Linked DNA regions of Ovis aries. The main gene of each other region encodes a partner of the protein of the gene in region 5 in a complex. Links are inferred from orthologs where the notes say so. Each region holds a gene or a part of one and is shown on either strand. Other genes may lie near its edges.

The links.
Region 1: TCTE1 (region 5) and FBXL13 share a complex: the UniProt entries of both Homo sapiens proteins name them as parts of the nexin-dynein regulatory complex. The link is inferred for Ovis aries from reciprocal best matches to the Homo sapiens genes DRC5 and FBXL13.
Region 2: TCTE1 (region 5) and DRC7 share a complex: the UniProt entries of both Homo sapiens proteins name them as parts of the nexin-dynein regulatory complex. The link is inferred for Ovis aries from reciprocal best matches to the Homo sapiens genes DRC5 and DRC7.
Region 3: TCTE1 (region 5) and IQCD share a complex: the UniProt entries of both Homo sapiens proteins name them as parts of the nexin-dynein regulatory complex. The link is inferred for Ovis aries from reciprocal best matches to the Homo sapiens genes DRC5 and DRC10.
Region 4: TCTE1 (region 5) and CCDC153 share a complex: the UniProt entries of both Homo sapiens proteins name them as parts of the nexin-dynein regulatory complex. The link is inferred for Ovis aries from reciprocal best matches to the Homo sapiens genes DRC5 and DRC12.
Region 6: TCTE1 (region 5) and DRC1 share a complex: the UniProt entries of both Homo sapiens proteins name them as parts of the nexin-dynein regulatory complex. The link is inferred for Ovis aries from reciprocal best matches to the Homo sapiens genes DRC5 and DRC1.
Region 7: TCTE1 (region 5) and IQCG share a complex: the UniProt entries of both Homo sapiens proteins name them as parts of the nexin-dynein regulatory complex. The link is inferred for Ovis aries from reciprocal best matches to the Homo sapiens genes DRC5 and DRC9.

Annotation. Positions count from the first base shown.
Region 1 is NC_056057.1:45,810,764-45,814,263, forward strand, and holds part of FBXL13 (F-box and leucine-rich repeat protein 13), read right to left. Parts: intron 2,362-3,500; coding exon 2,252-2,361; intron 232-2,251; coding exon 67-231; intron 1-66. UniProt on the Homo sapiens protein: Substrate-recognition component of the SCF (SKP1-CUL1-F-box protein)-type E3 ubiquitin ligase complex.
Region 2 is NC_056067.1:25,289,716-25,292,156, reverse strand, and holds the end of DRC7 (dynein regulatory complex subunit 7), read right to left. Parts: intron 2,250-2,441; coding exon 2,055-2,249; intron 1,201-2,054; coding exon 1,061-1,200; intron 790-1,060; coding exon 696-789; 3' UTR 501-695; downstream 1-500. UniProt on the Homo sapiens protein: Component of the nexin-dynein regulatory complex (N-DRC) a key regulator of ciliary/flagellar motility which maintains the alignment and integrity of the distal axoneme and regulates microtubule sliding in motile axonemes.
Region 3 is NC_056070.1:61,298,425-61,302,562, reverse strand, and holds the start of IQCD (dynein regulatory complex protein 10), read left to right. Parts: upstream 1-1,338; 5' UTR 1,339-1,440; intron 1,441-4,138. UniProt on the Homo sapiens protein: Component of the nexin-dynein regulatory complex (N-DRC), a key regulator of ciliary/flagellar motility which maintains the alignment and integrity of the distal axoneme and regulates microtubule sliding in motile axonemes.
Region 4 is NC_056068.1:29,498,872-29,503,134, reverse strand, and holds the start of CCDC153 (coiled-coil domain-containing protein 153), read left to right. Parts: upstream 1-1,463; 5' UTR 1,464-1,687; intron 1,688-1,806; 5' UTR 1,807-1,818; coding exon 1,819-1,888; exon of another isoform or gene 1,889-2,173; coding exon of another isoform or gene 2,174-2,213; intron 2,214-2,286; exon of another isoform or gene 2,287-2,291; coding exon 2,292-2,357; intron 2,358-2,726; coding exon 2,727-2,870; intron 2,871-3,408; coding exon 3,409-3,657; intron 3,658-4,263. UniProt on the Homo sapiens protein: Component of the nexin-dynein regulatory complex (N-DRC), a key regulator of ciliary/flagellar motility which maintains the alignment and integrity of the distal axoneme and regulates microtubule sliding in motile axonemes.
Region 5 is NC_056073.1:17,779,403-17,783,612, forward strand, and holds the start of TCTE1 (dynein regulatory complex subunit 5), read right to left. Parts: upstream 2,801-4,210; 5' UTR 1-2,800. UniProt on the Homo sapiens protein: Component of the nexin-dynein regulatory complex (N-DRC) a key regulator of ciliary/flagellar motility which maintains the alignment and integrity of the distal axoneme and regulates microtubule sliding in motile axonemes.
Region 6 is NC_056056.1:33,576,704-33,580,886, reverse strand, and holds the start of DRC1 (dynein regulatory complex protein 1), read right to left. Parts: upstream 2,801-4,183; 5' UTR 2,736-2,800; coding exon 2,581-2,735; intron 1-2,580. UniProt on the Homo sapiens protein: Component of the nexin-dynein regulatory complex (N-DRC) a key regulator of ciliary/flagellar motility which maintains the alignment and integrity of the distal axoneme and regulates microtubule sliding in motile axonemes.
Region 7 is NC_056054.1:191,041,638-191,045,137, reverse strand, and holds part of IQCG (dynein regulatory complex protein 9), read right to left. Parts: intron 2,161-3,500; coding exon 2,032-2,160; intron 1-2,031. UniProt on the Homo sapiens protein: Component of the nexin-dynein regulatory complex (N-DRC), a key regulator of ciliary/flagellar motility which maintains the alignment and integrity of the distal axoneme and regulates microtubule sliding in motile axonemes.

The DNA.
Region 1 (3,500 bases), on a different chromosome or scaffold from region 5:
TTTATAAAACCACTCTTTAAGAAAACATTATCAAAACAACTAGTTAAGACATGAGTTCATACGAACCTGTAATATTGCTCTTTTGGGTAACTGTGAAATGTCAAAATCAGGAATCCCACCTATAAGAAAGTCTTCAGACACAAATTGTTCAGGAAAAAAGTGTTCTTCTTTAGAATTTGCTTTGAATTTTAACTTGGAGAATTTTTGTAATTGAAGTTCATGCTTTAGCATCTGCCATGAAAATAATTTACAGATTCCATGGAATTGTTGTAAGGACTAAATGAGACGATACATATAAAGCACAATGCTTGATATAATGACAGCACCAATTAAACATTATTATCATCATCATTATATAAATTATCATTGTCCAGGGCATATGTAATAGTCTCTGAACCACCAAAGCATTATAGATCATTTCCACTAGTTGTCATACAATACTGGCATAGGCAGTCACCTTGAAGATGTGGGCCAGCCTTCTCTTATAGAAATGAGAAAGCTGAAACCTAGAGTCAAGGTTCTGGTAATGACAGAACTGATACTTGGGGCATGGAAGGGTAAGGGTTACCCTGGAGCTGTAAGAGGAGAGTCAGGGGACTTCTCTGGTCTCCAACCTCTCACTATCAAGAGCCTGGGTTCAAGGTCCCTGGTTGAGGGACCTAAGATGCTAGAAACCGTGTGGCATGGCCAAAAATGAAAAAAAAAAAAAAGTGTATATATATATGTGTGTGTGTGTGTGTGTGTGTATGTGTGTATATATATATATATATATATATATATATATATATAAACGTTTTTCTTAAAAAAAGTCAGAAGGAAAGAATTTGGAGAATTGCCTGATGTATCATTACAGTAAATCCCCATTTTTACTTTCAATCCATTCATTAAGAGCGCATAATCAAGGAAAAAACCCTCAAGGGTAAATAAGTGTTGTACCCATACACACACACAATTTTCCTGCAATATATGTACATACTAGAGCCTAAGGAAGCGTGCACAGTGGAGAGCTGGCACGTAGCTCTCTCCTCCCAGCAGACACCTGCTGTCCTCACTCCACCCTAGTGAGTGCAGCAGTACCACTAGGCCAAGAAATCACATAGCTAAAATAAAACATTTTCTTTAAATACTCAATTAACTATTTAATACATATCTACTCTAGTACTCTTGCCTGGAAAATCCCATGGATGGAGGAGCCTGGTAGACTACAGTCTATAGGGTCGCAAAGAGTCGGACACGACTGAGCGACTTCACTTTCACTGCTTTCACATATTAGGGATAATATTACTGTGTCATATATAATATACACTATCATACATATTTATATATATATATATATCAATTACTACAAAACATCATGTTTAGTGTATGGGGATGGTTAAAGAGAACAGTGCTGCCTTCTCTCAGGGACATTCAGTTTAAGGGGATATAAAACGGCAGCCTGGTCACGCAGTTACCTTTTCACCAGGAACCGTAAAATGGGGTTTAATTTCTTCCTAGTTTTCTCTTTCTTATTTATCCCGACTTTATATTTCAGACTATTAGTAAAACATTACATACTAAATAATATAACTACAAAAAATTCCAGCATGTTTCTGTATCTGTTCCTAGTAGTTACTATGAATATTCTAAAAAACATTAAATGATAATTTACTATGCTGATAGCTAAAGCAAACTAGAGATGTTTTTATTATTATAAGTTTGAAGGAGTTTGCCTGGATGCTCTGTTTTGACTGCTTTAATTTCTAATACGTGTCCCAGTTAAGAATGATTCAAGTGTAGAAATTTAGTAGCTTTAAAGATAATTTAGTATTAAGATTTTAATTTACTAAATTGGATATTGAAAAGAGTAGATAGAAATGCAACCTTATCTAGAAAAGAATAAATTTAGTCTACCATTTATTTCTGTTATAATCATATCAAACCATTTCTCTTCCACTTTAAACATTTATTTCCACCTAAACACTTGCTTAAACAAAATTCTTAGTGTCTTTATCAATAAATTAAAATGAAATGTTAAAAAGATGTTTCCTTGATGTTGAACTTCAAATGAAAGAGCAAAATTTATTAGGAAATATTTTGGGTAAGTGAGGAGGCATTTAGATTGTTAAATTAAAAGAAAAAGGACCCCTTTAAAAGTATATAATATGCAAGTCTTCAGTGTTTTCCACGCGTAGCGTTATCATCTGAGACAACATCAATGTAACAGCAAAGTTCAGTTTCTAAAAAACAGTAAGTGTCCAATATGCCATACCAGCTCATCTTCTCTCTTTTTAAACTTATGTCTTGCTCTATCCCTCCATTTACTTAGGATAACTATCATCTTGTAGCAGTGGAACATCTTTTGTATCCGCAGTAGTGCATCTGAAGAAAATGCATTAGATTACTGTATATAATTGCACAGTATTATGATTAATATTCTATCAGGTTTATAACATGAAACAATGCTGCATTTGATAGTTTTTATTTTAATTGCATCTGAAATTGATTACTATTGACAGCAAAATATAGTACTGCTGAGACTTCATTAACTTGTAAACATTACCTTTGCCCTTATAAATTAAGATATTATAGATGTAACAAAATGTCAAGTTATATAGCATATCCTTTTAAACAAATCTGTTCTTTATAAAACCAGAACTTCCAGATTTATTCATAGAAATAGAGTCATGAGATAGTACTTTTAAATGCCCTGTGATTAAATAGATTGCTCGCTCTCTCTCTCTCTCTATATATATATATATATATATATATATATATATATATATATATATATATTTTATGTTTAAGCAGGGGTCCAAAGCTCAAACACAGGGGCCAGGCCAAGAAGGAGGATGATTAAGGCAGGCCTTGGGGACACCATTCTTAACTATAGCTAATTGCTTCCTCTCAGAAATAGAGACCCACTACCTAGCTTAGTCGGTAAAGAATCTGCCCGCAATGTAGGAGACCTGGGTTCGATTCCTGGGTTGGGAAGATCCCCTGGAGAAGGAAATGGCAATCCACTCCAATATTCTTGCCTGGAAAATCCCAGGGGCAGAGGAGCCTGGCGGGCCAGGGTCCATGGGGTCGCAAGAGTCGGATATGACTTAACGACTAAACCACCACCACCACCCTATGTTAAAATCACCAGAGTCCACTCTGAGGTACCAACAGGAGCCAATCAAGAGGAAAGGATTTACTGATTTGCAGCAGCCATAAACAGATCAATATGTAGTTAGCTGGATGGACTCTCTATTCCTGCTCTGAAAAGCACATACATGTACTGTCCACTCATTACAGCTATCGAGGGTTTAAGTAAAAGAAAATTATTTTTCTTTAAGTTTTCTCAGAAATTCATTAAATAAAATATAAAGAATAAAGAGCTGTTTATAAAAAACAGTCAATTTTGATATCTATCTGTCCATCTACCTATCTATCCCAACTCTCTATTTTATAAAAAAAAGTTAATAGTAGCTCCCTATTTATATTGAAACTTGTATATATATCACACAAATAGATAT
Region 2 (2,441 bases), on a different chromosome or scaffold from region 5:
GCCGACTTCATTTGGGACTCGGGTGGGGTGGGCTTTGGGAAGAGCCGCTACCCACAGAAGTCAGAGGAGCAGAGGCAGGGGTCACACACATGTCTTGGGAGAAAGCCACTGGGATCTTGTTTAAAGGGATATAATGCTTATGAAGTCAGACCCGGGGTTAAGGCTGAGACAGCCATGTAGCTCTGGATCCGGTACATTTCAGAGCTTCCAGTTTCTTGTCTGCAAACTGAGGGTCTTGCACCCCCACCATGGCTGGGGTGGCCCAGCTCACAAAGTGGGAATGGCAAGCCTACGGTGTGTGCCCCAGAACTTGGCTTCTTGACGCTAGGCTGCAAGAGACTGAATTCCAGCGCCTCTTCTTAGCAGCCACTAATTAGCCATGTGTGAAATGGGGATGCAGTTGCTGTATTAAATAAGATAAGACTGTAAAGGTGGTCCCAGGCCACAGATAAAGAAGAGAAGGAGAAAAGGGCTGCTGCTGGAGTCTGTGAAACATGAGGTACACGTGGCAAATGGCAAGTGTTTATTTATAGGTAAATTAGGAAAAGCAGGAAAGTAGTGTGCCTGAGTGGATGGTCATTAGCTGGGCATAGGGAACACAAGGGCCAGGCTTTGGGGGAGGTTTCTTTCTCTGGCAGCTTTGCTGGGGCCTCAGGAGGGACTCAGAGGACCACAGGTGTAGGGGGTGAAGAGCATCAAACAAAGACTTTAAGTAACTCCACCAGGCGTGGGTCCTTGTAGAGCTTTTCCTCCAGAGCCAAGTACTTCAGTGGGGCCAGCTCCTTGTGTCTGAAATCAGAGGGAGGGTTTACAAAGCTGGTACTTTGAGACTTCCCTGGTGGTCCAGTGGTTAAGAATCCTTCTTCCATTGCAGGGGACATGGGTTGGATCTCTGGTCAGGGAACTGAGAGCCCACATGCCGCAGGGCAGTTAAGCCTGCGTGCCACAACCGCTTCTGCCTATGCACCGCAATGAGGACCCAGCACAACCAAAAAAACAAAAGCTGATGCTCCAACATCCTTGTGGGTCCTCTTGGCTCCCGCCACCCCTGCCTCCTCACCGGCTGAGCCGCTGCTCCAGGATACGGATGCGGAACATGGCCTGAGAGCAGTAACTCAGGTATAAGTCTTCATCCTCAGGTGTCAGGGTCACCTGATTCTCCTGATACCACTGCTGCTTCTTCTGCAGCTCTTGAGTCTCCTGTGGGCACGGGGAAGGAGAGCAGGAGGGCTGACCCAAATTGCAGGCTGACCCCGCTCCTGCACAGGGCATCAGACAGCCCCACAAGGTCAGCCCCGTCACCCCTTCTCATAGAAGCGAGAGAAGCAGAGGCAGAAAACCTGGGGCCTTGTTAGAGGGCTATATGTCCACAAGGACTTCCCAGGTGGCTCAGTGGTAAAGAATCAGCCTGCCAATAGAGGAGACGAGGGTTCGACCCCTGACTGGGGAAGATTGCCTGGAGAAGGAAATGGGAACCCACTCTAGTATTCTTGCCTGGGAAATCCCATGGACAGAGGACCCTGGTGGGCTGCACAGTCCATGGGGTTAGAAAGAGTCAGACACAACTTAGCGACTAAACAACAACATGTCCACGAGGTTAGAGCAGGAGTTAGGACTGAGAGCCATGTGACTCTGGTCAAAGTACATTTTCAGAGCTTCCAATCTGTCATCTGCAAAATGAGGGTCATTGCACTCACCCCCACCCGCACCACCATAGAGCCGTTTGTGAAGATTAAATAAGATAATGCAGGGGAACTACACGGTGTGTACCTGACCAACAGAAATGGGTCAAAAACTATAGGAGTTGTTATAATGCTCCAGCCATCCACGCCTCCATCCCTCTGTTCACTCATCCACCTCTCCATCCACCCTTCAACCCAATAAACAAGGATGAGGAAGGACAGCTTGGTCCTTTGGACACACCAGGCACTGACCTCCTCCCCTTCCACCCGTTAGTCCCTCACAAGTCTATGAGATGGTGAGCCAACAGCCCTGGGCTAGTTTTCCGGTGAAGGATGCCGAGGTCCCCACCCCTGCCAGGGCCCCGGCTGCACCTTTTCAAACCGGGCCTGGATGAGGTTGGCTTTGTCAATGAGCCGCTGCTTGAAGTCATTGAGGCACTCCTCCTTGAGGCGCACGGCCTGCCAGCGCGTGAGCTTCTCCCCAGGCGGGAGCTGGGCCAGGAATGGGGCCAGGTAGTCCAGCTGGGCCTCCACCTGTCGCAGGTGCTCCTCGTGTAGCACGCGCTCCTGTAAGGGGACTGAGGGTCGGCTGGACCAGCAGGGGCCGCAGACACCCCCCAGACAGCTCTATGGAGATATGACCACACAGAACCGGGCCCCAAACCCTCTGTGCTTGAGGCCTCAGAGGGCTCTGTGCTGTCTCCTGAGTTCATGGTTATTGGTGACAGCCAACTCTGGTGTCTGTGAGTTCACACATCT
Region 3 (4,138 bases), on a different chromosome or scaffold from region 5:
GTATAATATATGACTGTTTGCTTGTAATGAATGCATTAGTTTTGTGGCTCTCAGAGGGGGTTATCACAACAGAGACATATGTGCCTCAATATGTGAATAGTGTTGCTGTTAGGAAATTTTACTCAGCTGATGTCCCCACTTCACAATGAGGAAAGTGAGGTTTAGAGGGGTTAAATTAACCGACCTCTTGTAAGTAGACCGCTGGGAAGTAATAGAGCCCAGATTTCAACCCAGGCAGTCTCACCCTCCCTGCTTAACCATTACCCTTCCTCTCTTCCCAGACCAGTCCCCTCATCTGAATTCAAACCCATAATTTTAGAGAGGGAAAACTGAGGCTCGGGGAAGAGAAGGGACGTTACTTAAAGTCACAGTGCTTCTCCCTCTAGAGAGGACCCAGAATGGAAGGGTCACCCCTTAGGGAAAGGTCCCAGGGAAAGCCGGCAGGCCGTCCCGCGCTCCACTCGGGCAGACGGACCGGGCAAGAGTCTCTTGCAGGGTGGGTGGACTGAGGGCTCCAGGGAGATGAGCATTTGAGAGAGAAAGGGGAGCGAAGAGGCGTGCGGGATTCTACTCCACGTGTTCGACTTTGAGCCCCCTCTCCCGCCCCGGGCTTCCTCGGGCGGTCCCCACGCTGGGCCCCCTCCCCACATCAGGACTGGAGGGAGAGAAGCGCAGCAATGAACTTCCCCGCAACCCCTCTTGGCCCGACCTGCCCGCCTCCCACACCCAAATACCCAGCCGCAACCTTTCACTCCGAGCCCCCTGCCCCTTGACCTCTGCCCTCTCCTCTGACCATCCCTCACATGCCTCGAATTCTTACACGCGCCGCCCCAGCAACCCGGACCGACCGCCGGGGTCCGCACAGCACAGCACAGCCCGCCGGCGCAGCCGCCAAAGCCCCGAGCCCGGAGCTGTTGCAGCTGCAGCAGCCGCCGCAGAAACCGCCACCTCAGCCGCTGCCACCACGGCAGCTGCGCCAGCTCTCCCATCCGCCGCCTACTGTCCCCTTCGCCTGGCCGGCACCGCCCCAGTCCCCCCTTCGCCGCGCCCTATTGGCTAACTCGGGCGTCATGATGATCTCTGATTGGCCAATCCTTACGTCCTTCCCCAGTTAATACAAGCCTCCTTGCCCACCTCCCTGGGGAAGAGAGGCGGGACAAAGAAGCTCCGCCCCTTTCACGCCTATTCTCCCCGCCTTACTCGTTCAGCTTAACCCTGAGGGACGCCCGGCTCTTCCAATTGGTGGAGAGTTAGACACACCTTGTTTCTGATTGGTCAGTCCTCAGGAGGTGGACCAAACCGAGGGGAATAAGGAATCGAATGGCGAAAAGGAAAGTTAATCAGACACCGAGTCCCGCCTTCTGAGATTGATGGGTAACCTAGCAACGCAGGAACAGCTGTGGTAACCAAGGACAGAAAAACTTAAAGACCACCGAGCAGGTGAGTGATCATGTGGGGAAGGGCTGGAGATGATGGGGAGATGTTGAATGGGATCTAGTCCTCTTATCTTTTTGACACTCTGAGGAATCAGCATCCCGTCCCCCCTCCCCCCACCGCTAGCCCGTCCCCAGCTCAGGACCCTGATCTCCAGCCCCTGCCTCAGTCTGGACGTCCCTCTCGACCTTCTGCAAAGACGACTGGGCGTCCTCTTTGGTGTCTCTGCCTCTACTCTGCCCTTCCTCTTGTCCACTTCATGGTTCCACTTCCTCATCCGTAAAACGTGGATGATACTAGTCAAGTGGACTCACAGCTAAGTTAAACTACTTTCAAGTTACACATAGGTGTTGGGGGTGAGAGAGTAGTTTTATAAGTCCCCTACCATTCTGTCAACAGCTTATAAATCCCAAGGTGAGCATGCAATGAGAGTGAGTGTTTAAATTATGTACCTTTGTACCAATGTTGGCCTTTTGTGCTATAATAACTTTAGACCTTAACTTCCATCACTGTCCTTAAAATATAATTTCATTTACATACTCAAGAGAAAGGGTTTGTTGCAAGGATTAACTAAAACAAAGTAGAATAGTTGTCGCCAGGGGCTGGGGGAGTGGGAAACGGGCAGTTATTACTTAACTGGTACAGAGTTTCAATTTGGGATGATGAAAAAGTTCTGGAAGGCAGATGGTGGTGATGGTTGCATATAGATATGAATGTAACAATTTAATGCCACTGAATTTTAAATGGTTACAGTGGTAAACTTTATGTTGCCTGCATAAGTGCTCAGTTGCTTCAATCAAAGTCAGTCGCTTCAGTTGTGTCTTGACTCTGCAAACCCTTGAACAGTAGCCCGCCAAGGCTCCTCTGTCCGTAAGATTTTCCGGGCAAGAATACCTGAGTGGACTGACATTCCCTCCTCTACGGAATCTTCCCAACCCAGGACTCCAACCCGGTCTTCTGCACTGAAGGTGGATTCTTTACCCCTGAACTTATGTATATTTTAACACAGTAATAATTTTTCAAAGCAACTATAAAGCTAGACAAAACCATCTATTGCTAAATTAGCACTCTGAAAATCAGCCAAAGGCATACAACAAACTGAGAGCTTTTATTCATAAAACCACCGAACTTCAAGTTTGTTTTGTACTTACCTGGGACTTCTCTGATTTCCCCATACTCAGTTCTATCTGGCATAATAGTTCAACGAGGGCAGGTAGCCCCCTGAAAACCAAGAGCTTCACTGTCGCTGTCTGATGGGGCTCACTTGATTTGGAGGACTCTTGGCTAAAGTAGCAATCTTGGTGGGACGAGAACAGGGAACGCCAGCGGGTGTAGCAGTCCAAGGTTGTAGTTCTATTCGGCGCCAACAGTGCACTGAAAACTTGGAGTTCTGGGGAATGCGGCATCCATGCGGAACCTGATGAGCTCTGTCTTACCTTGACTGACTAGAGGTTATGCGCATGTGCAGCAGAGACCTGCTCCGGCCCAAGAGACTTAGAAATGCTTGGCCTTTGGAGCCTGGTGTAGACAGGTGTACTGAGTGCATAGGGTACTTGCCATCCAAGAATAGGAGCCTTACTGGTTCAAAGTGTGAGCACAACCCCTGACTGATTTTTGGCTGAATATTAAACTATGTGGATACATAGGTGACCCCTAGGAAGCCAAGTTTTAAAATAAAAATATGCAAAAAAAATTAAGCAGAGATATCAGTAGCTGCACACCATGGAGGAGACTGACTTGACAGATTTAGTCCAGGAAGTAAATTACCAAATGCCCAAGCAAAACAAAAACAGCAATCATTAGGAAAAAAAAATACTGTGTTGCTACCAAAAAAAATTTCCCTCTAAGATTTCCAGTGTTCAATAAAAATTGTGAGATGTGTGTAAACATACTCAGGGGAAAAATGCAGTCAATAGAAACAGTCTCTATGTGTCCCCAGATGTTGGTTTCAGCAGACAAAGACTTCAAAAAAGCTATTATAAATACGATCAAAGAACTAAAGGAAACCATGTTTAAATAACTGAAAGAAGACAAGATAACAATGACTATCAAATAGAAAATATTTAGTATCCCAGAATAGATTATGATAAATTAAGGTGTACATTATAATCCCTAAATCGACCACTAAAAAAAAAAAAAAAAAAAACACTCAAAAAATATTTTAAAAATCAATGGAATAATTAAAAGAATGGACTAAAAACATTTAACACAATAAAAAGCATTCAGTAAATAGCATGGGGACAAAAAAGAAAAGGCATGAAATGCCAGAAGCCAGTGTGAGGAATCCTGCCCGTGACAAGGTCATGAGGAAGGAAGCTGACATACGCAAGGTCGTGATCAGACTTCAGAGTTCCCCCTGGCATTTCCTGAGCATGTACCCCCCAAAACCAAAAATCTGCCAGCCTTTGTACTCTGCTTTTCCACTTTTCTGATATTCTCTGGAAAAAAGTCAATTCAGGGCTTTAGTCTTCTGCATTTGAAAGGAATGTTTCAGTTAAACCCCCTCTGATTGCTCTCTAGCTTGCCTAACAGGTTCCCCAGACCTCTTGTGAATTGCTTACAGCCCCCCAACCGTGAGAGGCACAAGGCTTAGAAGCATCTTAAAGATACAGAGCCATTTCTAAAGAGTTAAAAATTATATTGGTAGAGGGTTTTTGCTGTTGACTCAATGACTGCTGCCAGGCCTCCATATTCTTTATCTTTT
Region 4 (4,263 bases), on a different chromosome or scaffold from region 5:
CAGAGAAATATCTAAAGAAAGAGTCTGCAGTTCCCTAAATCCACAAGGGGGAAAGCCCTGAAGTTTCTGCTGTTTTCATTTTAGCCACTTTGGTGTTCACAAATCTGGGTGGCAGACAGACAGCAAAGGCTCCCAATAGCAAAAGGCTGGAGAGAGGGGTTTCGGGGAGGGAACAGCTAACCAGGGCAAGCCACTCAGCGTTCTCCCTTCCCCAGATTTATTTTTCCAACTATTCGTGACTCCAGCAAGATGCTAGGCAGCACCCCTAAATGAGGGGTGCCCCCAACATTGCTCCATAAATAATTTAAATAGAAAAATTCAGGAGACTTACTAGAAGGTCAAGAAAATCCACTAGAGGGAGCCCAAATCAACTCAATGCCACAGGGAACCAAGCTGGTTATTTTCTCAGCACCTGTCTGAAAATCAACCACAGACAGGAATAGGGAGAAAGAGGAAATATATTAAGTCACCATAAAAGAAGATAGTCCTGTAAATACCTGGTGAAAATCCAAGCCTTTCAAGATTTACAAAATCAAAGATTTAGGAAACTGAGGCTGAGCAAGGAAAATGACTTACCCAAATTTACATATCTGGAGAAGGGTAAGGATGAGAACTCAAAAGCTCCTGTCTCTAACCAGTACCCTTTCTTCTTGATTTGCATCTATGTCAGGATAGAAGGGCATCGCAACCCACTCCAGTATTCTTATCTGGAGAATCCAATGGACAGAGGAGCCTGGAGGGCTACAGTCCATGGGGTCACAAGAGGTTGCAAGAGTCGAACACGACTGAGGTGACTTAGCACAGCACCTTGAGGTCCTAGGTCGAACTCTCCTCTGTGTCTCATTTATCTGAAATAGGAAACTCTCTCAACCACCATCTCCTGAATTTCTTTCCCTCATTCACCGTAGAATACCTTCCTGAAATCTTCAATTTTAAGCCTATTTAATAATGTCATTTTGTTGATGAGACTTTGGGAAATGTAAATCACCCCAAATGGCTACCGTGAGTTCTTTTCCTCTGTATCAGCGCAATAGCATTATTTTGGATGTGTAAATCTATAATTTGTAAGTGTCCAAATTGCAGGCAGTGCTACATAGAAGTGAATCATATTTAATCAGTTCCAAAGCCCTCTCTCCTCAAACTACACTTAGGATCTGGGGACAAGAAGAGTATTGGCCCTCTGAGACCTTGGTATTTTAAGCATTGTATTTAGCCCCTTCTACCAGACACAATTATAACGACTGAGCAAGCATGCATGTACCTTCCTAACAGCTCCATGTTTCCCAGTTGCCTGGACAACGTGCAGCCTCCAGAAGCCCAACCTTCCAGTTCTCAGTCCCACCCCCAAATGAAATTTGCCACTCTGGATTGGGTCCCAGAACACAATCTCCTCCTCCGGCTCCTAGCTGGTTGGGCCTTTTCTCTGCCCCTCCTGGAAAGTGGGTCACGCCACAGGGAGATACAACAGAGACAAGTGAGGGTCTTGGAGGAAGGAAGAGGCAGGGTAAGGATGATGGGAAGAGAGAAGGGGCCAGGTACTGAGCTTTATTTTCTCTGAAAGAGGGTTGAGAGGAATGATTTCTGTACTTAGAGCTTGACTGGTAGAGAGAAATGGGTTCATCCTTCCCCCTGGCCCCAGCCTTGCCTAAGTTTCCAAGGAAACCAAGAACTGAAGCTTCTGGAAAGTGTAAGAGACAGACTTGGAGATGAGAGCACTAATTCTCCTGGGACTCCTGGTTCCGTCTAGGGAGTCAGGAGAGTGTCTCCATGTCCAGACCTAAATATGAGCCCCCTCCCTCCCTCCAGGACAGGAAGGAGATGCCACCTAAGACCAAAGAAAAAGGGACAAAAGCTGGGGCCCAGAAGAAGAAAAGAAATGCAGGTGCTGGTGAGTCAGACTGGGTGGAGGTGGGTGCCTCCCAGCCTCTCCTTGTTCTGGCTCAGAGACCTCCAGAGAGAATTCATCCCTCTGCGTGACAAGATGGAGCTGTCTTGGCCTTCCCCCTTTATATCCATATTCGGGTGCCATGGAGCTGGGAACATGGGAAAATCAGCACCCATGAATCCCTTCTGGCTGTGTGCCTTCCTTGTATATTCATTACAATCTTTCAAATACCTACTGTGAGCTGGGTAGTGAACTCATTAGGCTTTGCTATCAGAGATCCCTCATTTAATGGTCCTTGTATCTCCCACAAAAAAAAGAGAAGTCCAGGGTATGGGAGGAGGGTGGGAGGAGGGTAGGGAAGGCTGAGATCCTGACAAGCTGAGGGTCTGCTGTCTTGCCAGGGCAGATGTGGAGGCTGAATCCATGCACAGGCTGGCACTGCTGGAAAAGGAGGTGCTCCAAGACCGCTTGGGTAAGAAGGGTAGAAGTTCGGCAACAGAGACAGTGGGCATTTGTGTATCCCTGGGAGCTTAAAGTTTTGGAACAATGGTGGAGGGCTGAGCTGATCTCTAACCATCCCCTAATGGGAAAAGATTGTCAAGAGCTGGGGTCATGAGGACAGGGTGGGCCGTGAGGGTTGATAAAGAAAGCTAACTTTTATAGCTGGAACACAGAGGGAGTTTTTCCCTCTTAGTAACAGAGTCTGTAGGATTCTGAGGCGGGGAAGGGAAACAGAATGACGATGAGAGACTGGCAGGCTGCCGCCAGGTTTCTGAAGGTGGACAGAGTCCATCAAGGCCATGGGGGCTGATTGATTGAGTGGAGCCCCCAACCAGTGCAGAGGGCTGCTCTGGACTGTTCACAGCTCTGCAGAGGGATGAAGCCCGCCGAGCCAAGGCTTCGGAAGACCAGCTGAAGCAGAGGATCAAAGACCTGGAGGCTGAACTGGAGGGGGCCCGGAGCGAAGGGAAGGCCATATATGCAGGTGTGAGGTTGATCGAGCAGGTGGGCGGGAGACAGGGGCCCGGAAGAGGACAACTGGGAGGGCCCAAGGATGCTAGAAAGGGAGACAAGGAGGACTTCGAACCGCCATACCTAGCCTCAGCCCTCCCTGCACCCACAGGAATCCTGAGGGGGCCTTCTGTGGTCTTGGGCAGGAACCTTCCGTGACATGCAGTGCTTTGTGCTTGATGTCCCGTGGACTATGAAACGCAGCCCTAGCCTTTATCTCACTCCTCCCGTGGGAGTGGGTGGGAAGGAGGGCCTGAATTCACATACTGAGCTACCATAGCGGATGGGTGTCTTATTTCCTAGCTCTGTCCCTACCTTCTCAGATCACCACAAGAATCCAGAAGACTTTTTTTTTTTAAGATTTTTTTTTTTTTAATGTGGACCATTTTTAAAGTCTTTATTGGATTTGTTACAATATTGCTTCTGTTTTATGCTTTGGTTTTTTGGCTCTGAGGAATATGGGATCTTAGCTTCCAGATCAGGGATCAAATCCGCGTCCCCTGCATTGGTAGGTGAAGTCTTAACCACTGGACTGCCAGGGAAGGCCCTCAACAGACCTTTATGCACTTGTCCACTGGACCAAGCAGAGCCCTCCCCACCCACAACTTCTGTCCTTTCTCCACTGCTCTCTCCCCATCTGGGTCCCTGGCCACCCACGGCTCTGCCAGAGATGAGTCGTCAGTGCCGGAGCCTGCAGGAGGCGATGCAGAGTCGCACCAGGAAGCTGGAGGAAGAAGTGAAGGGCCTGCAGGAGCAGTTAGGTAGGCTTCCCAGGTGGCCCTAGTGGTAAAGAACCCGCCCGCCAATGCAGGAGACTTAAAAGATGTGGGCTCCATCCCTGGGTCGGGAAGATCCCTTGGAGGAGGGCATGGCAACTCACTCTGTAATCTTGCCTGAAGAATCCCATGGGCAGAGGAGCCTGGATAGCCCCATTCCATGGGGTCACAAAGAGTCAAGCACTAACCGAGTTAGCACGCACACACAGCACACCCTGCCCTCACAGCACTTTCTCTCAGAGGATCACACTGATGTAGTCCAGCCTGAAGGGGTGGAGTTAGAATGGTCTTTCTTTAGAAAACTGCAATTTAAGCTCTCATACTGTCTTCCCCCACTGACTCTTCTACTACTTGCAACAGAAGGTTCAGGATAGCAAAAAATACCCAATCTTAACCTTTTAGTTATAAATGAAGAAGCCCTAACTTTCTCACTGCACCTCCCTCTCTCAATGGTCTCTCTAAAGACAGTTCTTACTCCCCACTGCCCACATGTCTCTCACGAGCAAAACACAGTCTCTCTTAGTTTGGCTGATGTTTAGAATGAAAGCAAGCTTGAATATAACTGTTTGAATTACTTACCTCCGTATCTTC
Region 5 (4,210 bases):
GCATGGCAACCCACTCCAGTATTCTTGCCTGGAGAATTCCAGGGACAGAGGAGCCTGGTGGGCTACAGTGCATGGGGTCGCAAGGAGCTGGACGTGACTGAGCATGCACACACGCAGCAGCAGGGCAGGCCCTCAGTAGTGTGTGCACAGGAGGAGGCGGCATAACAGCTAGCTCAGGATTCAGGAGTTACGCCGCCTGAGGTCCAATCTCCACTCTGTCCCCAGCATCTGGGAGAACCTGGCAAATCATGCAACCCCATTAAGCCTCCATCTCTTTATTGTAATATGGGATAGTAACTGGGGTTCCTACTTCATAAGATTATCCAGAGGATTAAAGGAGCTAATGTGTATGCATGCTTGCATGCTAAGTCGCTTCAGTCGTGCCTGACTCTTTGCAATCCCATGCACTGTAGCCTGCCAAGCTCTTCGGTCCTTGGAATTCTCCAGGCAAGAATACTGGAGTGGGTTGCCATTTCCTCTTCCAGGGATCTTCCCAACCCAAGGACTGAACCTGCATCTCTTGTGTCTTCTGCACTGGCTGCTGCTGCTGCTGCTAAATCACTTCAGTCGTGTCCGACTCTGTGTGACCCCAGAGATGGCAGCCCACCAGGCTCCCCCGTCCCTGGGATTCTCCAGGCAAGAACACTGGAGTGGGTTGCCATTTCCTCTTCCAGGGATCTTCCCAACCCAGGGACTGAACCTGCATCTCTTGTGTCTTCTGCGCTGGCAGTCAGGTTCTTTACCGTTCCTGCCACCTGGGAAGCCCTAAAGTGAAAGTGTCAGTCGCTCAGTCATGACTGATTCTTGGTGAGCCCATGGGTGATAGCTCACCAGGCTCCTCTGTCCATGGAATTCCCCTGGCAAGAATACTGGAGTGGGTTGCCATGCCCTTCTCCAGTGGATATTCCCGACCTAAGGACTGAGCCTATGTCTCCTGCATCTCCTGCATTGCAGGCAGCTTCTTTGCTGTCTGAGCCACCAGGAAACATGTGTGAGACATTCTGTATAGTGTTGGGCCCAGAGCCAACACTCAAGGTAAGTGTTAGATATCATGACAAAGATGTTAGATGCTGTACCTATATAAGCCTATGAAATCTTCAGACTTATTATTGACAAATATTGTTATTATGACACCATTATCCTCATTTCACAAACAGGAAAACAGAGGCTTAGAGAACTTAAGTAACTAGCTAAGCATCACATAGTAAATGGAGAAGCTGAGCTCTGAACCAATGTCTGTCCAAAGCTGTCCCTCACTTCCCTGCACAAAAGCAGAGACAAATCACGGGATGTTGGGATTGCTTCCTAAATTGCCCAGACTCGGTTGTCATAGCACTTTTCCAGTGGGCCTCACACTCTCTCCAGTCGGAGCCTGGGGTCACCCTCATTGGTGCTGACCTGAAAAGCCCAGGCTCCCTCACTCCCTGTCCCTTCCAGTCACAGGGCCCTTCTGCAGAACTGATGATCACTTCAGCTTTTGAGGCCCCACGAGGATCCAAGAGATACCGCAGAGCTGTGCTTTCCTGCCCCGTGGCCCACTTTGGGCCCTCCATGTTCCTTCCAGACCTAGGGTTCAGTGCTCGAGTCTCCCGCACCTTCCCTCCTCTCAGAAACGTCTCAGACCTCCTCCATCTTTCTCAAGTGCCTAGTTAAATCCAAACACTTTGGGCAGAGGCTCCACCTGCCTGCCTAAATGGGAAAGTTGAAGATGCTAGAGGAGGAGGATCCTCTCTCCTTTCTGCTCACCACACCCCTGGTCCTCACCTCTCTTTCTCTGAACTGAGAAGCAGAAGTGCCAGGCCTTCCTTAGGTTCTCTGAGGACCTCTGTGGCCTTGGACATCCCTTCTTGGGGGCTGGGCTTTGACGTCCCATATCCCCCAGCTTCTCTGGTGGTGCTTCCTGCCTTCTCAGTCAGCTGTTCCTCAGGGCCCTGGCTTTGGTCTACATTTCCCCAATCCCTATCTTGCCTACTGTGTCAGACTCCACCTCAGGCCAAGTCATTCCCATTTGGGAATTCAGAGTTTGCGGAATCACAAAAGAGGGGCAAAAAAGTTTCCCTGATAGAGTTCTGGCCTAGCACCCCTGGTCTTTTGCTGGTGAGACAGTCTGCACACTTATCACACCCCTGGGCCAGGCTTTCCTCCCAACTGCGCACTTAGGTCTGTGGTCTTAAAAAAGAACTCCACCCTCATCCCTACCTTTGATTCAGACACCCCACCAGGGAACCTCAGCTCCAAATGCTAGCAAGTCCCTCCCCCAACCCGCCTGGGGTGAAGGGGCCCTCCTTCTTGGTGACCAGGGATAACCAGCTTTGTCATGGGAGGGAGGGAGGTGTAGAAGTGTCTAGACCTGCGGGAAGGACTGCAGCCCCAGGAGCTGGGAATAGAGCTCTGTCTTTCCAGGAAGGCTGGGGCCCCGGAACTAGGGACTGCTCTCACTCATGACCGACTCTCATTCCACTTTCCCCTTCTCCATCTCCGGTGACCCTCCCCTGACTCGCAGAGCCAGTTTGCAGTGGCCGTAGGGAGGAAGGAGGCATGGTCAACTTCATATGGGGGTGGGGGCTTCCCATAGGTACAGGCCGGCCCTTCCTTCTCACGGGAGCCAAGGTCACCTGCAGACTTCGGCCAGGTGGGCTGACTCTGTGGGGTGCTCCCATGCCCTGTGGGGAGAGTGGGGGCAGAGAGCTCAGCCCGCTAGGGGAGACCGGGGCCGGGTGTTCTCTCTCCAGAGGTTACCTCACCGCTCCCGAGACCTGGCCTCTCACCTTCCCGCAGGTCCCCACGAACGCAGGTTGTTAGGGACGCCGTGCGTCGCTAGGGGGCGGGCCCTCAAGGGCGGGTGCGCATGCGTTCTCCCGCAAGCTGGTTGACTGCTATGCGCTGTGCGAAGGCAGGGCTGCCGGACTTCGATGGTTGTAGCAGCACGCCTTGGCCCAGGATCGATGCAAATACGTGTCCCCCTCTAAGGCACTATGTGGAGCCCAGAGCGGACAGTGAGAACTCTGGCATCCGGACATGCTTTGTGCGTCGAGTGGACATATTTAGGAGCAGTGGGTTTCTGCAGGGAAAGGCAGGGAGCTGCGGATGCGGCAGGGCTCCTGGTCTACTACGGGGCTCTTCCTTCTCCGGCCTTTTGTGTGGAAATGGAGATGGGGATGACGAGTGGGAAGACGGTCCAGGAAAAGCACCAGTGGCCATTCCCTTCCGGAAGAGGATGATGGAAGGGCACGTGCAGTTCTTGGAACTCCCCTGAGGCCCTCAGCTGACCACTGGCTGCAGCATACCTTTGGAGCCACCCTCGGCCTTTCTCCAGGTTGTCAGCAAGGCTGAGTTGGCACCAGGCAGGAAGACCCCAGGCCTCCACAGCGCTCCCTCCACAGCCCTAAGCCCGACACCAGGAATGACCAGCTTCTGTGAAATGACTAGCTTTCATAGAAAAGGAAATTGTCCTTCAAGAGGGGAAGAGCAACCAAGGGTGATTGGTTCACTAGAAGCAGAACTTAAATTTCAGTTCTGATGATTACTAGCTGGGTTACCCTGGATAAGTTACAACCTTAGAAGCTCAGTTAACTCATCAACATCCCCCCCCCCCCCCCCGCCACCGCCCTGCCCTAGTATCCTCACTGTGGTGACTATATGTTAAGATCCAGGCTTTCAGTCAGTGTACTGAACAGTGGCCCCTGCCACAGTAGCTAAGATCCACAGTTGCGACCTCTCGGGACTGCAAGCAGCCAGAGGCCAGGGGCTCCAGGCCCCTTTCAAGCCCTCATCAGTGATTTACCAACTAATCACCACTGCCTCAATTAGAATGAGCAATCACGCAAGAAATGCTGTCAGGAAGGCCTGCTCTGCTCTAAAATTTTGACTAAATGCCCCCAGAACTTCGCAGCTAGGGAGGCTCTGACTTGGGGATGGGTTCCCCGAGTTCCCCTTCCTTCATCCAGCAACAGAGATCTTCAAACAGAGGTGGAGCTCAGGTGTCTGGCTCGGTCCTGGGTGGATTCACTTTGGGAGGGAAAGACAACTGCCCTTCATTCCACACCTTCCTCCTGCTCTGAGCTGCCAATTTCAGCTTCAGCTCAGGTTTGGGGCAGGTGCTTTGCAAGTTGTTTTACAAGAGAAGGCTTGGGACTGCTCTGGTGGTACAGTGGGTGAGAATCCACCTGCCAATGTATGGATTGAATCCCTGGTTTGGGAAGGGTCTACA
Region 6 (4,183 bases), on a different chromosome or scaffold from region 5:
AGAAAATGAAGTTTAAATTCTAGGAAGTAAAACCTTTCACTTTTTTTCCTAACTTCTTGTTTTGTTTTGTTTTGTTTTTAAATCTTTCTGCTGAGCTGTGCATGGCCTGGGGGATTTAATTTTAAATTTTCATAGTATATTTCACCATATACAAAAATATATTCCATAGGGATAAAAATTCGAATACTAAAAAGAACACAATCCAGGATTTCCTTGGTGGTCCAGTGGTTAAGACTCTGAGTTTCCAATGCAGGGAGTACATGTAGGATCTTAGCTCGCTCCCCATGGAACCTGCCTCCCCTGCATTGGAAAGGCAGAGTTTTTTTACTCCAAGTGGCATGTAGGATCTTTGTTCCTCCAAACCATTCCCTAAAGAGCAACAAGGGTGATCTTAACATGCTTAGAAAGTTGAGAAATTCTCACACTAGGTTGTTGGCCTGTGGGTAAGAGCTATAGCCATATGGAAGGTCAAATGGACACTCCAAAACTGCACCCAAGTGCACAAAAAGCAATACTGTATACCAGGGCTACGGTAGGGATTAGCATCACCCTTAGGGATCTCAAGGACTTCCCAGGTGGCTCAGTGGCAAAGAAGCTGCCTGCCAATGCAGGAGACGTGGATTCAATCCCTGGGTTGAGAAGATCCCCTGGAGAAGGAAATGGCAGTCCATTGCAGTATTCTTGCCTGGAAAATTCCATCGACAGAGATGCCTGGTGGGCTACAGTCCACAGGGTCACAAAGAGCTGGACATGACTGAGTGGTTGAGCACACAGTACAATTAGGAATCTCACAGATGTGGGAGTGGTGGTGCCTATCAAATCACCATTTAATTCACTGGTCAGGTCCCTGCAAAAACTGGATGGATGGAGCCAAGAAAATGATTGTCAATTACTGCAAGCTCAAGCAAGCAGCAGTCCTAATTGCAGCTGTCATGCAGGTCCTTGCTTGAACATATAAGTGTGGCCTTAGGTACCTGGAATGTGGCCACTGATTGAGCCAAATATGCTATTTCTACCTCAGTCAGGAAAAAGGATTAGGAAGTTCATATCGAGGAGGAACAGATAATACACACTCATACAGTCCTCATACTTGCAGGGCCATGTCAATGCTCCTGAGCTGACAAACTAGAGTCTAGATAGATCAGGACCACTTGGATATCCCACAGAGCATCACACTGATCTGTTATCTCAGGGCTGCCAAACTTTGGCTGATGGGCCAAATCTGATTCACTTGCTTTTGTATGGCTCAGGAGTGAAGAATGATTTTTTTACATTTCAAATGGTTTTTTGAAAAGATCAAGACGAATAGGCAGAGTGCAGGGGATTTTTAGGGCAGTGAAACTCTTCAGTACAGTACTGTGATGGGTAGATACATGTCATTATATATTTATCAAGATCCAACTGTTGTACCAATGTACCATTCTGGTGGAGAATATTGATAGTGGAGGAGGTTATACATGTGTAGAGTGCGTGTTAGTCACTCAGTTGGGTGTGACTCTTTGTGACCCCATGGACTGTAGCCCACCAGGCCCCTCTGTATGGGATTCTCCAGGCAAGGATACTGGAGTGGGTTGCCATTTCCTTCTCTAGGGATCTTCCCAACCCAGGGATTAAATCCAGGCCTCCCACATTGCAGTTAGATTCTTTACCATCTGAGCCACCAGGGTAGCTTCATACATGTGTAGAAGTAGGGGGTAAATGGGAAACCTCTGTAGTTTCCACTCAATTCTTCTGTGAACCTAAAACTGCTCTAAAATATGAAGTGTATCAATTTTAAAAAAAAAGATCTAAAGATGAAGAATATTCTGTGACACACGAACATTATATGAAATGCAAATTTCAGTGTCCTTAAGTTAAGTTTTTGTTGGAACACAGCCACATCACTCTGGGCCCCTTGTGTCCAAAGACCGGCAGACAACAAGAGAAGCACCATCTTGGCAAGGCAGCTGACCCTGACCAGCAGGACGAGGTATAAGCGCTGTCACACAGTGCGGTGTTCAGGCAGTCACAGGTTCACGCAAGTTCCCCTCGATCCCCCTTCTTAAGACAGGCCACAAAGTCTGTGAGTGGACGAGGGTGGCAACCCCAGCCTGAGAATGGTACAGTTATCAGCCTCAGACTCTGCAGGAAAACGGTTTTGTGTCACACAACCAGTTAAGCCACTGAAACCAACAGAAGTGATAGCCGAGGTCTGCTCTGTAACCCCTTGTGGAAGGAAGGCACGCTGGGAGGCAAGGAGGAAAGAACGATCTCGGGGGACCGGTCATGAAGCCCCAACATCTTCAGGTACGGCCCACAGTGCCTGGCGCAGCAGGCTCTCCGTGAACGTGCTGGAGGGATTCCTGTTTCCATCTTTGACTTTGCTAAGTGTATTCAATGCTTTAATATCACATACTTTGTTTGAACCTTCTGGCAGAAAAGTTTTCTATCTCATCAAGAAGCAAGACCAGCTCACACGTAGGGCACGCGAGCCCCTCACCACAGGGGCTCCGGCCTGGAGAAGCCACCCCCTCATTCCAGCACCCAGGTCACCTGCACCCCGGGCGCTCCTTGGAAGAACGCGCCCAAACCCTGACTCACCGCCTCCGAGCTTCCAGGCGCGCCGCAATGCGCAGGCGCCGGGCCTGGATCCGCTCCTGAGGATTATCAGAATGTACGGAGGGTCCGAGAATTGGGGTGGCTAAATGTTCATCCTCCTTCTCCTCCAGGACCCCCAGGGATCCTGGCGGATTCATGGCAGGTGCCTTCCGCCCCCCGGGCAGCCCTGCCTGGACCACCGTGGGACTACAGTTTGGTTGCTAACAACAAAGCTGTTGCCAGGGAAATGCAGTCACCTGACCCGCAGCTGGCGTGGTTGCGCGCGCAGCCCCTAAGGCCGGGCGCACTGGTGTTCTTAGCGCCGTTGTCTCAGCTTGGGGTTTTATTCCTCTGCTGCAATTACGGTGAGGACTGTATTGAATCCCCCACTAAGGCTCAGGTGGTATTAACAGAGGCCGGAAGACTTAAGAGCTGAACCAAGTTGTGATTCATCACTTACCTACCCTATGATTAATTCATCCATCAAATAAATAATCCTCAAAATCACCGTATTCAGCTAATGTAATTCAATGTCTACTCTATGCCAATCACTGTGCTAGCTCCGAGGATCCAAGCGTTGTCTTTTCCTCGATGGAGGGGGTAGAATAATAGGTTCACTCAGAAATTCTGAACTAAAGTACATTGCATCCACCTGCTTGTCATCCATTCTTTTTAAAAATTAATATGTATAACTTTACTTTTGGCTGTGCTGGGTCTTCTTTGCAGCAGGCGTTTTTCTCTAGCTGCCGCGAGCGGGAGCTACTCCTTGTTGCAGTGCATGGGCTTCTGATTGCGGAGCAAGGGCTCTGGGGCGCAAGGGCTCTGGTAGTTGCCGCTCCTGGCTGCAGTAGTTACAGTCTCCAGGCTCCAGAGCACAGGCTCAATAGTTGCAGCACACAGGCTTAGTTCTTCCGTGGCACGTGAGATCTTCCCAGATCAGAAATCCAACCTTTGTCTCCTTCACTGGCAGGCGGACTCTTTACCACTGAGCCGCGGAGGAATTCCCATCATCCATTAGTGTTTGAGCTCCTACTTTGTGTATTCAGCCTCTATCGTCTCTAGAATGTGAAAACCCCCTGCCATCAATAAATGTATATCCAACAAGGAACCGTTGTCTTATGTAGCGGTTTTCAGTAGGGCTGCACTCCCTCCATTACTACCCGCAATCACATACAGAAAAAAGAGGAGAGCAGAGAAAAACAGGTAGGAAAGGGAGTGAGGGGGGAGGAATGAAAGTTAAGAGCACAGAAGCACATTTAAACTTTCGAAGGACTACTGTCCCTTGAAAAGCACTATTTCCTGGGTGTTTTGTACGTGTCAATTGTCGCACTGCGACAAAAAATGCACCGCGTTCTTATGTAGCATTAAGACTCATTCGAAAACAAGCAGGATAACATTTGATCGAACCTTGTACTACTGGCCTGAGAGAAACTCGGAAAAGGGCACTAGGGTAGTAAGAAATTGCAGACAGGCCCTGCCACCTTGGGTATGGCACAATTTACTGTTTTCTCAGCTGTACTGCCTGCCTACTTAAATCACAAGCAACAGTGAGGCCAAAGAAGATAAGCCCCTTGTCAATAAGCCGTGCTGCTGCTGCTGCTGCGTC
Region 7 (3,500 bases), on a different chromosome or scaffold from region 5:
TAAAAAGAAACACATTTGAGTCAGTTCTAATGAGGTGGATGAACCTAGAACTCATATGCAGAGTGAAGTGAATCAGAAAGAGAAAGATAAATACCATCTTCTAATACATATATACAGAAACTAGAAAAATGGTACTGAAAATTTTATTTATAGGGCAACAATGTAGAAACAGACATACAGAATAGACTTATGGACATGTGGAGAGGGGAGGAGAGGGTGAGATGTATGGAAAGACTAACATGGAAATTTATATTACCATATATAAAATAGATAGCTGAGAATTTGCTGTATGGCTCAGGAAACTCAAACAGGGGCTCTGTATCAACCTAGAGGGGTGGGATGGGGAGGGAGATGGGACGGAGTTTCAAAAGGGAGGGTATATATGTATACCTATGGCTGCTTCATGTTGAGGTTTGACAGAAAACAGCATAATTCTATAAAGCAATTATCCTTCAATTAAAAAAACACTTTATTTTTAAAAAAGATTGTGATTGTAGTAAACTGGAAGAGGATTTTCTGGCTTATCAGTGTGGTATCTAAAATTGCTGCTGCTGAGAACAAGCTAAGAAGAGGAGGAACAGGAAGAGGAAAAAGATGAATCTTTTCTATTCCGAGCACCTCTAAGCAAATCTAAGGACATAATCTCTGTCATCACTCCCGTTTTACAGATGAGGAAAATGCACATAGAGAGTTGAGGTAACTTGCTGCAGAGGGCCTGAGAATGTGCCCCTAGACCTCCTAGTACAGGCAATGTAAGCAAACAAGGGTCCAAGCTCTCGACTCTGAATTCCTCCACTGTTTGTGCTCTGAGGCAATCCTTCCCACAGACTGCTCCCAGCCAAGTTTTGAGGGTGGCAGGGATAAGGCCATCCCTCCCTAGGAGACTCTGGACTCTTCTGATGCTTGACTTTCGCTCAAGGACTGCCTGCTGACCTTGCCAAATCATCCTTAGATTGCAGGGTGGTCTCATCCACCCAACCTTCCCTCTCCTTCACTTACGGTGAGTCTAGCATTGAGTCCAAAGGCTCCCTCCCCATTTTCTCTCACATAAGGGTTTCCCTGATAAAAATCTTTACATTAATAATCTCATCTTGTCATCTGTCTCTAAGAAGATACAGACTCACACACTTGCCATAGTCACAGAGCAGAATGAGTTTAAATGGCAGAGCAGAATTTAAACTCAGTTCTGGCTGAATGAGAATTTAACTATTTTATGTTGTTTCTGTTTGCCCTCAGAAACAGAATTCTGCTTATCTCCAGAAATCCCCTTATTTAGGTTTAAAACAAAATAACAGAACAATACAATAAAAAAAAATAATAATACCTATCTTAGCTTGAGCTGCCATAATAAAAATATCATAGGTTGGAAGGCTTATAAACAGAGAAATTCATTGCTCACAGTTCTGGAGGCTATTAAGTCTATCCGGGTATCATCCAACTCAGTGTCTGCTGAGAACCTGCCACCTGGTTCACAACTGCCCATTTTCGTTTGTATCTACATGACAGAAGAGGAAGACAGCTCTCCTGGGTCTTGTTTATCAGGGCACTAATCCCACAGATGAGGGCTCCATCCTTAAGACCTACTCACTGACCAAAGACGTCCAACCTCCTAAAACCATCACTCTGGAGGTTGGGATTCCAAAAACTGAGGTTAGAGGAGCACAAACATTCAGTCTATATAGCAACAACAATAACAACAACAACAACAAAATCTTATCATTAAGTAACATCTCGAGAAATCCTGCTAACTAGAATCTTGAGATTGTCATTGCCAAAACAAACCATAGATTATGCACTACTCATCTGTGTAGTACATATATTGTACTATATATATTATAGATACAGATAACTGAAGCCCAGAAATTGAGCTATTGTTCCAGCAGAACTCCAAACAGAACCCAACTTTCTGACTCCTAGTTATCTCCCCTTAAAAGCAAAAACTTGATTTGCTTTAGAAATCTAAGACTTCCAGTAAGAGTTTTATAGCACTTTAAAAGGCAACAAAGCAAATAAACCTAAAGTTACTCTCACCTGGCAATGATATCATAGAAATGCATTTTGCTTTCCCTCTCTTTGCCCAAAGCTTTCAGGAGACTGGTGAAAGTGCCTTCTTCTTGCAACTCCTCCATAGTTTCTGTAATTACATCACTCAAAAATTGCCTATAAGGAGAAATGTAAGATGAATCAGTGAGGTATATTTCCCCACATTCACAAAGAGCTACAAAAATCACACAAGTTAAGACTCAGAAGGACCATCATAACTAAATTTGAATTATTCTTGGAAGGCAGAAATAGTTTAGTATTAGAAAATCTACTAATGGAAATCATCACATTAATAAGGACAAAAGGAGAAAAAAGCCAAATGATCATCACATCATTTAAAAACAAACAACAACTCTTAGCCAAAAAGAGAAACTCCTTAACCGGAAAAAGTTTACATACTGAAGACTAACGGACCTGGAATGTACAGCATGATATTGTGTATACAACATTTAAGAACATGTAAAACTATGAACGTGAACGTGAAAGTTAGTCACTCAGTCATGTCCGACTCTCTGTGACCCCATGGACTGTAGCCCAGCAGGCTCCTCTGTCCATGGAATTCTCCAGGCAAGAATACTGGAGTGAGTTGCCATTTTCCTTCTCCAGGGGATCTTCCTGACCCAGGGATCGAACCCAGGTCTCCCATATTGCAGGCAGACTCTTTACCATCTGAGCCACCTATATGTATCATTTAAATAAAATACTTACATACCTAATAAAAGTATCACAACATATACAAGAGAACAATAAACAACAAATTCAGAAGAACTATTTGGGGGAAGGGTGAGGGGAATAGAATCAGTCTTCAATTGTACCTGACATATTTTATTTGGAAAAAAAAACTCTTAAAGCTATCATGTAAAATGTTAAGATTTGGTGGTTATATACATAAGGATTAATAATTTTATTCTTCACATTTTTCTGCATTGTTGAAATATTTTATAATTTGAAAAAGTTAAATCATTAAAAAAATTTTGTATAAAGAGCTAATACAATACATTTTAGAGATGAGTGACTCCAGACTCAGGAAGATTAAATGCCTTCCTTGCCCAAGTTCACAGAACTAGCTTGAAAAAGAGCTAGAACTATTTAATTCAGATTATTGACTCTTAGTCCATTGAGTATTTTCTCCTAGGTAGAGAATTTTAAATACTGTTATTTAATGTTTTGATATAGAATCACAAGAAGTATACTTACTGTTTTACATAATTATTACCAATAGTTCACACAAAAAAATTCAATAACTATATTGAGAAAATAAATACAATGAAGTCATATCAATTGAAAAACTATGATCCCACACACTGAGAATGAAAGGACATTAACTAGCAGCTTATAAACAGGACACCATCTTTAAGGGATGCAAATGTGAAACCAGATTATTTATAACAAGAGATGATACCCTCTGGTGAGGGTCTAAAGCAGGGGTCAGCGAGTTTTTCTGTAATTGGACAAAT